Linked DNA regions of Macaca fascicularis. The protein of the gene in region 1 purifies or fractionates together with the protein of each later gene. This does not show direct contact. Links are inferred from orthologs where the notes say so. Each region holds a gene or a part of one and is shown in the gene's direction. Other genes may lie near its edges.

Evidence for each region.
Region 2: the proteins of NASP (region 1) and HAT1 purify together in Homo sapiens (affinity purification with mass spectrometry; 3 studies listed by BioGRID and IntAct, with this or other methods). This does not show direct contact. The link is inferred for Macaca fascicularis from reciprocal best matches to the Homo sapiens genes NASP and HAT1.
Region 3: the proteins of NASP (region 1) and ASF1B purify together in Homo sapiens (affinity purification with mass spectrometry; 5 studies listed by BioGRID and IntAct, counting the BioPlex papers as one, with this or other methods). This does not show direct contact. The link is inferred for Macaca fascicularis from reciprocal best matches to the Homo sapiens genes NASP and ASF1B.

The regions. Positions count from the first base shown.
Region 1 is NC_088375.1:189,135,974-189,140,051, reverse strand, and holds the start of NASP (nuclear autoantigenic sperm protein), read left to right. Parts: upstream 1-1,259; 5' UTR 1,260-1,361; coding exon of another isoform or gene 1,362-1,420; intron 1,421-4,078. UniProt on the Homo sapiens protein: Component of the histone chaperone network. Binds and stabilizes histone H3-H4 not bound to chromatin to maintain a soluble reservoir and modulate degradation by chaperone-mediated autophagy.
Region 2 is NC_088386.1:67,507,538-67,511,185, forward strand, and holds part of HAT1 (histone acetyltransferase type B catalytic subunit), read left to right. Parts: intron 1-1,641; coding exon 1,642-1,821; intron 1,822-2,090; coding exon 2,091-2,212; intron 2,213-2,712; coding exon 2,713-2,817; intron 2,818-3,144; coding exon 3,145-3,251; intron 3,252-3,648. UniProt on the Homo sapiens protein: Histone acetyltransferase that plays a role in different biological processes including cell cycle progression, glucose metabolism, histone production or DNA damage repair. Coordinates histone production and acetylation via H4 promoter binding.
Region 3 is NC_088393.1:14,539,978-14,543,296, reverse strand, and holds the end of ASF1B (histone chaperone ASF1B), read left to right. Parts: intron 1-581; coding exon 582-758; intron 759-1,620; coding exon 1,621-1,827; 3' UTR 1,828-2,779; downstream 2,780-3,319. UniProt on the Homo sapiens protein: Histone chaperone that facilitates histone deposition and histone exchange and removal during nucleosome assembly and disassembly. Cooperates with chromatin assembly factor 1 (CAF-1) to promote replication-dependent chromatin assembly.

The DNA.
Region 1 (4,078 bases):
CCTCCTGAGTAGCTAGGATTACAGGCGCCTGCCACCACGCCTGGCTAATTTTCGTATTTTTAGTAGAGACGGGGTTTCACCATGTTGGCCAGGCTGGAACTTTGGCCTATTTATTTTATTTATTTATTATTTATTTATTTTTGAGACAGAGTCTTGCTCTGTTGCCCAGGTTGGAGTGCAGTGGCCAGCTCTCGGCTCACTGCAACTTCTGCCTCCCGGGTTCAAATATTCTCTTGCCTCACGGAGTAGCTGGGATTATAGGCGCCCGCCACCACGCCCGGCTACTTTTTGTATTTTTTAGTAGAGACGGGGTTTCACCATCTTGGCCAGGCTGGTCTTGAACTCTTGACCTCGTGATCCATCAGCCTAGGCCTCTCAAAGTGCTGGGATTACAGGCGTGAGCCACCGCGCCTGGCCCCTTTGCTTATTTTTCTAAGAAACAGACTAACACCGATCTCACTAGTAGCATTGTTAAGATTAAACAAGATAGCTAATAGCTTTAAAGGGTCTAATCACAGTACCCCTACATGTAGTAGTCACTCAGCAAATCATAGCCAGGAGTGGACGAAAAGCGCTGGGAGCATTAAACCAGCCAGATTTGGAGTCTGGGTAGGGCCTAAGACGATGGCATCAGCGGATTGGGCCAGCCAAAGGGGGCGGGTTCAGAGGGAGGAGCCAGCCGCCTTCCGCTGCAGCCCCGAGCTTTGAATCAAGCGCGGTAGTTTCAGCTGTAGCCAATCCTAGAACAAAATCTTCTTGCGTCAGTTGTTGCTGAGGCCCAGATCTCACCCAGATCAGTTCTAGTCGCTGCTGCTAGTACCCGTCCTCGGCTCTTGCGTGTCCGTCCGTTACGACTCAGAGGACGGAGAGAAAGTCTAAGTCACCTTCCTCAGTATCCAGGCCGGAAGGAGACTCTCGGCTACTCGCCCTAAACATGGAGAGCAGCACTGGCTTCCCTGTCTCTGGATGCCGCAGGGGCGTCCTGTCAGGAGTTGTAGTGGCAAGATTCCAGTTCTTATGCGACTTGGTGGAGAAGCAGGAAGTTGCTGTTTATCGGACAAGGCGGGCTAGGGAGGGAAACAACGCCGCGGAGCCATATGGAGAGGGCAGGAGGTGTCCTTAGATAATGGTAGGCCTGCGGCGGACGGTGGGGCGGTGTTGAGTCCTGGCCCTTTAAACCCGAGGGGGAGGACCCGGAAGTGGATGGGCGGGGCGAAGGGCCTTAGTATATAAGAGGGCCCCAGCCGCGCGGGGTCTCTAATCTGCCATTTTCTGTCCCTGAGTGAGTTTCTGGCGTCCCAAATTGCCTGTTTTTCTCACAGGCTCTATTCCGTTCGCTGGTTCGCCACCTCAGGGGAACGATGGCCACTGAGTCCACAGCTACTGCCGCCGTCGCCGCGGAGCTGGTTTCTGCCAACAAGTAAGCGGGACTGGAAAGCTTGAGGCACTGGCCAGTCCGCGGGGAGGGCAAATGGACGGGGGCTCCGGAGAAGGGACAGACCGGTGGGCGGGCGTACTTGCCTTCCCGGGAGCAGCTGTCGCTGTTCGGGAAGGCCCGGTCACTGGAGCAGTCCTCCTCTGGCTTGAGAGCCTCGCGCACCAGCGGTAACGGCGGTCGGCTGGCGCCCCCTGCCCCGCTTTTTGCGGCCGCCATCTTGCCGGGGGCAGCGGCGGCTGTATCCATCGCCTGCCCCTCTTCTTCCTCCCCCGGCCCGGGGCGGTTGGCCGGGAGGCGGGGCCCTGGCGCACGAGTTGGCCTTCACTCCCCTTCTGTCCCCAGCGTGTGCCTCGGGTAGAGTCCCTGGATAACCCAGGAATATAACCAACGGAGATTTGGCGCCAAAAGAAAAAAAAAAACCCCTGCACGAGGAAGGAGGCTGGACCTGAGGGGTCGGGGTGGGCGGGGCCTTGCTGAGGGCGGGGTTTTGCGCGCGAGCGTTCGCTTCCCTTGCCGGCTCTGGAGCAGGGGGCGGGGCCTTGAGGAGGCGGGAAAACTCTATTGTTTGGGGCCGCTGCGGCTCCAGCGGGAGCATTTGGACTATTCTGTGGGACCGGTGAGGCTAGTTCCGCCCCTCACGCCTCGCTCACGTCTTGTGCTGGGAGATAGTTATCGCTCCCCTCGACTCCATGAGCCCCTGCCTGTGGTGGGGAGGATTGTAGTTCTTTAGACTTCGGAGGTGTTGCCTTGTTCGGGGGAACATTATCCGGACGCAAAGCGTCTTCAGGAAGCGCCGTCTGGAGCTCTCACCAGCACTGTTTGGTTGCTAGGTGAATCGGCAGTAGTGTGCACGAAGTGGAGAAGGGCTGGAGGGAAACAAGATAGGATTGCTTTGAAAGCAGCACAATGCCACTCAGGCGTAATCTATTTTTTGAACAGTGGAGGGAAACACTACATGACTTCAAGGAAACAAGTGCTGTTTCCCATACAGTAGGTCTGATTTCCCAATCTTGCCTTATTTTTTTAGTGATCTGGTTCTGTTTTTTTTCTTTTTCTAATCTTGTGCGCTTTAGAGGTTAGCTGCCTTCCCTGTGAACGGAATGGTTGCTGTGAAGTTTTTTAAATTGATATTCTATAGGCTTACACTCTGTCATGATTATGTCTTAGTTTGCTTATAGTTAGAGATTTACTTACATCTTTGCTTACCACCTTTTGTTTTCTCTGCATTCTTGTAGAGCAGTGGTTCTCAAGTCACCCTGACAATCATCTGGGAACTCATGGGAAATATAATTTTAATTTCAAACTCCCATTACCTGCCTCTTTCCCCATTGATTCGATATGAGCAGTATAGATTGGGCTTGAGAGTCGTACTATAGCTGTTATAAAAAGAGCTCCTTTTTATAATGTTTCCTGGATAGCTCTGGCAGTCAGTATTTCACTGACAGGTGTGTGTTTTTGTTTTGTTTTTGCAGACAGGGTCTGGCTCTCACATCCAGGCTAGAGTGCAGTGTTGTGGTCATAGCTCACTGCAACCTCGAACTCCTGGGCTGAAGTGATCCTCCCTAGTAGCTTGGGACTACAGTCGCCACGCCTGGCTAAGTTTTTGTCTTGATGTTGCCCAGGCTGGTCTCAGACTCTTGGGCTCAAGCAATCCTCCCGCCTTGGTCTCCCAAGGTGTTGGGGTTACAGGTGTGAGCCACTGCGCAGGACCAGGTGTGTGTATGTGTTTTTTTATTTTTATTTTTATTTTTTTGAGATAAAAGTATGCAACAAATCTCTCTTGCAGGTCCCCTGTGTCTTGCCAGAGTTAGGTCATTAGTGAACTTAGTCTCAGCTTCCTGGCAGGTTATACGTACAGAAAGTTTATATGTGGCTACAAGAAAGCAAACCATTTAAGTAGTTCCTCACACCATAAATTGAAAGCTAAAACTGAGCAATTATATGTGGGGGGGGGGGTGTGTGTGTGTGTGTGTGTGTGTGTGTGTGTGTGTGTGTGTGTGTGTGTTAGGGGGCAGGGTCTCTGTCACCCAGGCTGGAGTGCAGTGATGCCATCATCGCCCACTGCACCCTCTACCTCCTGGGCTCAAGTGATTTTCCCCCTCCTGAGTAGCTGGGATTACAGGCGCACACCACAAGACCCAGCTGATTCTAGTATTTATTTTATAGAGACGGGTTTCACCATGTTGCCCAAGCTGGTCTCCCAACTCCTAGGCTTAAGGGATCCACCCACCTGGGCCTCTGAAAGTGCTGAGGTTACCGGCGTGAGCCACCAACCCTGGCTGGTATTTTCATTTCATTCCCTCGTTTCCCCATCTAATTAGTGTGAGAGAACAATGAAAGCATGTGCCTCAGTTAAGTAAGTTAGTGGGGACATTTAGAAGTAAAGTTTATAAGGTCCTCATGTTTAAGGGTAGGTTAAAGAAAATGACTTGAATTTAGACTTTAGGTAAGAATGTACATTATACTTCGAGGATAAACATTGAAAGAATAAATATAACTTCCGAACCAGTAGAAAGGAAAAAAAATGGAAGGAGAAATAAACCTCAGTTCAGGTTTTTTAAATTTAGGAAATGGGGATCTTACTGTGTTGCCCAGGCTGGATTCCCAACTCCTAGTCTCAAGCAATCCTTCCACCTCAGC
Region 2 (3,648 bases), on another chromosome or scaffold:
CATACCTATTACAGCTATCCCTCATTATGACAGTTTCCTTGATAGTGGTTGAAATTGTACTGATTCTATAAAATATGCTTAAGATGGCCTCTTCACGTTAGCAATTGCAAGGAAAAATATTTATCAAATAGTACTTTAAAAATAAACAAAAACGGTCCTATGAAATGCAGTTTATTTGATCTCGAGTGTGAATGAGTTGTAAGGACTGATGTACATATTAGAAATAAACTGTTGGGCAAAATGCTGAAGAGCTATATTTTCAATAATAGGTCTTTTTTTATAGCTATAAACAAATTATATATAAATGTTGGTGGTACCAGAGCATTGAAAATAAAACTTGTTTGTGATAAACGTCATCCCTGGTTCTCTATCCTAAAATGTAACTGAATCATAATAAAGTGCTATTCATCTGCAGGTGCATTGCCTCTACTTAGTTAAAAGATGGTTGAAAGGACAGGAATTAGTAGCATGTTGTATTAGCCTTTTGTAGTGTATTTTGTCCTAAGCATCTTAATTTCCCTGTTTTGAATGCTAAGTAGCAAGGGTCTTGGTTTAGAACTAATACCCATCATGCATGTAAACGGTATGAAAGAGCTGCTTAGTAAGTTAACACAAAGTGTTCTTGTGTCAGTCCTTGTGGAAATAGATACAATACAAACATTACAGCTGAACTCACGGCAAACTCCATTAAGTAAAAACCTGGCCTCATTGTTCAGGAAAAAGTTTGAATAGAATACAAGCTCATTTTGTTGAATGTAATGTCAGGCTTTTAGGGACTGTATTGAGGGATAAGGTTTTGTTAAGTTGAGACCAATTCATTAAGTTTTATTGCCTGGTGAGAAGCAGCAATACTTTATTGTAAGACTTCATCAAATATTCATGGTTAAAGAGAAGTAGTAAATGTATTCAATCAAGTGGTCTTTTGGGATTTTGAAAAGGATTATGAAGTCTGCTCAGCTGATAACATTGATAGAGGTTGTTTAACAAGGGTAATTTTAATCTCCAAGTTTAGTTTTGTTGTCCAGTCTTGTCTCTTTTTTACTGTCACAAATCCAGGTCTCTAAGAATTGTGTCACATTCTAAGGATGAAAGAATGATATATCCATTCATATAATTTATGTTATTTCCTAAATAGGTATATTTTAAAATTATCATCTTAGTTTGAGTTTGGCATATGAGGGAATTGTGACCCATCTAGTTGTGAGATTGCTATTCATTTGGTCTGACTCTAGCCTCATCTCACTACCTCTGGTGATCTTTTCATGTCTTGGATAATATGATTTCTTTGACACATATAAAATAATAAGCAGCCTTTTGCCTTGGCCAGTTCAGACTGTCATGAAGGGGTATAGTCAGCATTTTCTACATAACAGAAACGTCCATAGCATTGCCCTTATTATTGTACTTGGTATCAGATTACCTGCCTTCTCTTATTTACTTTTATGTTATGCTTATCTCAGTTTTGTGTGATGTAGTTTGTGCACAGGAAGCTCATCCTTTTCCAGTTCACTGTGTGTTTACTTCTTTAGTTTTCAACCAAAATTTTATAATTTGTGTTGGTTTTGTCAGTTTTAAAGAAAGTAACCATATTCAACTTAAAGTTGAATTTGTTATTGATTTTTTATATCCTTTATTTTTTAGGCAGATGATGTTGAGGGCAAAATTAGACAAATCATTCCACCTGGATTTTGCACAAACACAAATGATTTCCTTTCTTTACTGGAAAAAGAAGTTGATTTCAAGCCATTCGGAACCTTACTTCATACCTACTCAGTTCTCAGTCCAACAGGAGGAGAAAACTTTACCTTTCAGATATATAAGGTAAAGATAAATCTAAATATTTATTGAGTAAAGTTCTTTTTGCCTGAAACCTGTATGTAGTTTTGTTGTCAGTGATTTATTCTAACTGCAGTAAACAAGTTTTAATCAGCATTATAAACAAAGATCTATTTTGTGTGTATGTCTGTGTCTGTGTCCACATCTTAATCTGAGACTTCTAAACATTTTCCCACAGGATAATTTTGTGTTCTGCAGACTTTCACTTACCTTTGTGATGAGTTTCACCTGACTTTTCCTGGCTTTTTCCCTAGGCCGACATGACATGTAGAGGCTTTCGAGAGTATCATGAAAGGCTTCAGACCTTTTTGATGTGGTTTATTGAAACTGCTAGCTTTATTGACGTGGATGATGAAAGATGGCACTACTTTCTAGTGTAAGTACAGTTCTAAAGCAACAGTAGACCTTATTACCTCCACAAAGCCAGCATTTTAATTGTGGCAGCCCAATTATTGGGACAGTATAATGATATTTTTCCCAGGAAAGAAAAACTATTGTTTATGAGGCTTGAGTTTTCCTTCATTATGCTTTGGGAGACCTTGAGAATAGAGCTGAATTAAATGCTGTTGTCCGTTAGGGCCCTGAATGTAGGCTTAAACAGTAAAATGAGCTTTGCCTGTGTTTTCTTTTACTTGCCACCTATTCATCTTTATAATAGGCAAGTGCACTGAAGTGATGTAAAGAGGTCTGATTTATCCAAGTTGCTGCACAGCAATTAAGTGAATTGTACATTCAGAACATAGCAGGTGTACCCATTGGGCCCTCACAGAGTAGCTTGCTGACACTGAAAATTCAGTCAGAGAATGGAAAAGAAAATGGACACTGCATGGGAGCGCGACTGTAATTGACCTGCTTGGCTTTCTGTTTTATCTGCAGATTTGAGAAGTATAATAAGGATGGAGCTACGCTCTTTGCGACCGTAGGCTACATGACAGTCTATAATTACTATGTGTACCCAGACAAAACCCGGCCACGTGTAAGGTAATTGGCAGTATAACACGTGCCTTGTCTTTTATTTCAGCAGAAGGAACTGCTGAAGTTTCCAATACTTGTTATAATAGTGTTGATTTGTTTAAAAAAAAATCACTATTATTCATGGACTATGTACTGATTTATTTCATTGTTCCCTTTGAAACAGTGTAGAAGATTAAACTAATTTTGAGTATCCTGATAATTTTTGGGTATCTCAAAGGTGGATTGAAAAAAGATCACACAAACTTTAAAGTGTTTGTAATACTATAGTGATTTGCAAGTTTTAAACTGGTCATGTTATGATATTTTAATTTTAAAATAATTTCTTTACTGTAGTCAGATGCTGATTTTGACTCCATTTCAAGGTCAAGGCCATGGTGCTCAGCTTCTTGAAACAGTTCATAGATACTACACTGAATTTCCTACAGTTCTTGATATTACAGGTATGTAAAATTTGATTTGTTACTGAAAGAGCCTTTCTAAAAAATGTCTCCTTACTGATTGATTGTATTTTTGTCAGAAATAACTATTTTAAACAACAACATTTTCCTAGGGTGCTTAAGCCATCTAAAGATGGCTTAAGTTTATGTTTTAAATCATAAGGCTTTGTGGGGATTGGATTACATCCCTAACTGTGAAGTGCTTAATGGAACAAATTGAAGATAATGAGCGGAATATATATGGGGAAATCTTGGTCAGGCATAAATATGTTGAAAGTATGGTATAACTTATTTGTTCACTTTATTTGGCAAACAGTTGCATTATTTAGAGGCAGCCTGCGCTTTAATTTACATGTAGGGTCAGAATATTCTAAACTTTACTGAGAAAAAAAGTCAAGGT
Region 3 (3,319 bases), on another chromosome or scaffold:
TGCCACTGCACTCCAGACTGGGAGAGAGAGAGCAAGACTCCGTAACAAAAAAAAAAAAAAAAAAAAAAAAAAGGCTGGGGGCGGTGGCTCATGCCTGTAATCCCAACACTTTGGGAGTCCAAGATGGGTGGATCACTTGAGGTCAGGAGTTCAAGACCAGCCTGACCAATATGGCGAAACCCCAACTCTACTGAAACTACAAAAATTAGCCAGGCGTGGTGGTAGGCGCCTGTAATCTCAACTTCTCAGGAGGCTGAGGCAGCAGAATCGCTTGAACCTGTGAGGTGGAGGTTGCAGTGAGCTGAGATCCCACCATTGCACTTCAGCCTGGGCAACAGAGCAAAACTCCATGTAAAAAAAAAAGTCAGCCGGGTGTGGTGGTGTGCGTCTGTAGTCCCAGCTACCTGGGACACTGAGGCAGAATTGCTTGAACCCGAGAGGCAGAGGTTGAAAAAAAGAAAACTGAGGGCAGAGAGCATACTTTTTGCTCAGTAAATACATGTTGCTTGGGAATTTGTTTCTACTAATGACATAGAGGCATGGCTGTGGCACTGCTAAGGCCTAGGATGTGTCTCCCCTAGGCTGATGCCCCCAACCCATCCCTCATCCCAGAGACTGATGCCGTGGGTGTGACCGTAGTCCTCATCACCTGTACCTACCACGGACAGGAGTTCATCCGAGTGGGCTACTATGTCAACAACGAGTACCTCAACCCCGAGCTGCGTGAGAACCCACCCATGAAGCCAGATTTCTCCCAGGTGGGTCCTGTTTCCACTTCCTGCTTCCCACAAGGCCATTCTTTATACTTGGGGGGGAGTTCAGCCATTCAAATTGGGAGTCAAGGTTACTTCTTAAGGTTTTCAAGTAATGTTCAGTTCTTACAGTACTGAGTTAGAATAGGAGAAAAAGGCCTTTGTTTCTCAAAGGCATGTCTTAGAGAATTAAGATTAGATAGGCCTGCCTGGGCAACATAACGAGACCCTGTCCCTACCCCCTCCCCACCTCAGAAAATGAGTGAGACATGGGTGGAGTACTCTACTCTGGATGCTGAGGTGGGAGGATCACTTGAGCCCAGGAGTTTGAAGCTGCAGTGAGCTCAGATCATGCCATTGCATTCTGGCCTGGCTAACAGAGACTGTCCCTTAAAAAAAAAAGATAGGTCCTGGGCCAGGTGCAGTGGCTCACACTTTGTAATCCCAGCACTTTAGGAGACCGAGGCTGTCGGATCACCTGAAGTCAGGAGTTCGAGACCAGCCTGGCCAACATGAAAGCCCGTCTCTACTAAAAATAAGAAAATGAGCCAGGCATGGTGCCATGCACCTGTAGTTCCAGCTACATAGGAAGCTGAGGCAGGAGAATCGCTTGAACCCGGAAGGTGGAGGTTGCAGTGAGACGAGATCACACCATTGCACTCCAGCCTGGGCAAAAAAAGCGAAACTCCGTCTCAAAAAAACAAAAAGATAGGTCCTAGCCCTAAATCATGGTGCACAGGTGTTTTCTGGAGTTCCATATGTGGGTTGCTCTTGCTGGGCTTCAGATGGGTGATTGGGGGTGTCCTGGCTCTATGGGAGCAAGGAGAGGGCATGTCAACAAGGGTTGACGTTCCTCTTTCTGCCCCAGCTCCAGCGGAACATCTTGGCCTCGAACCCCCGGGTGACCCGCTTCCACATCAACTGGGACAACAACACAGACAGGCTGGAGGCCATAGAGACCCAGGACCCCTCCCTGGGCTGCAGCCTCCCACTCAACTGCACTCCTATCAAGGGCCTGGGCCTCCCTGGCTGCATCCCTGGCCTCCTCCCTGAGAACTCCATGGACTGCATCTAACTGCAGGAACCCAGTGTCCCAGCACACCAGGAGGGGCAACCAGGCCTCCCAGCAAGTCCTGCAGGGCCCATCTAGAGGACTTTGGGGGCCATCAGCTGCATCCAGGTCTGTCAAACTCAGCCCCTAGGAAAGAACAGGCCTCGGGACTCCTCTAGTCCTGGCCAGAAGGATGATCTCGCTTTTCTTGTACAGGCCTATAAGAAGCAGGTACTTCAGTTCTAAATTCTTTCTGACTTGTGTTCTTTTCGTCTTCATAAATTCTACCTAAGGCCATTGTGCCACTGTGCACCCCTGAGTACCACTGACCCAAAGCTTTCCGACAGACCTCCCTGGCCTGCCTAGAGGCTTTCTTGGTCAGTGCCCGTCAAGGCTCTGGTCCTGCTGAGCCAAAGGTTCTGTCATTCCTTTCTCTTCCCGTTCACTGAGCAGATCCACTCCAGCTTTCTGGTGTCACAGGCAGGAATCTTGGTTAGTAGGTAGACTTAGATCCCATTTCTGTCCTGCTCCCAGGAAGATTCTTAGGTCCTCTTCAATCCAGCAGCCCCTGGAAAACTCTGCTCCCAGAGGTGTGATCAGCAGGATGCTGAGGAACCATGTTGCCTTTCCTGTCAATCATAGCCACCTTCCTGTTATCTCCTAAATGGATCTGGCTTTTTCTAGTTGGAAGATGGTGTCAGAGGGCCTGCCTGCGCAGTCTGTCTCTGGGTCGGGGTCAGGGACCCTCTGCTTCTGGCAGCCTTAATCTTCTCTCTGCTAGGACCAGGGTGATTTCAAGCCAGGGAAGCAACTGGGACCCTGAAAACCATCCCTCCCCAGCCTGCTCTCCCTCTCTGTGCCCTGGTCCCCTTGCTGCCATGTGGATGCTGTTGTGATTGCTGTTTGTATATTATTAAAATGTTTTTATATTAAAAATGTTTGGTTGGTCTGAAAATTAAAAGCACTTGGTTTAGAATGATTGTTTGTGCTTTTGTCTTGTGTGGACTGAAGCAACTTTGTCCACTCTCCCCCAGAAGTGGTCTCATGACCTGTCCAGTGGGTGGGCTGTCCCATGTCTTCTTCCCAGCTTCCTACTCCAGTCTTAATTGGTTCTACAGTATTCCAGACTGAGGTTCCAGAAGAGGTTTTTGTCAAAATTTAAGCAAACCAGCTGTCCTGCAGATAGATTATAATCAGTGATTTTTCAGACTGCCCTTGACCCACAGGAAGAAATTAACATCGTGATCCCAACACACAAACAGCAATGCTTTTATTAAATTTTACTAAACCTTAACCATGTAACCATCCAGAGGCCGAGTGGTCAGCCATTTTCGCGTAATTCACAGAAAGGCTCTGACTCTCCCTCCCTGGAACCATGGTTGATCTGGGAACATGGGTGCAGACAGCGGCTGGAGAGGGCGTAGGCTGTTCAAGTCTAAGCAGCAGATCGGCTTGCAGTTGAGCCCAGCTAGCCCTTCCGTGTCAGGGTGACCTGACTTCTCCCCTCCCCTGACCC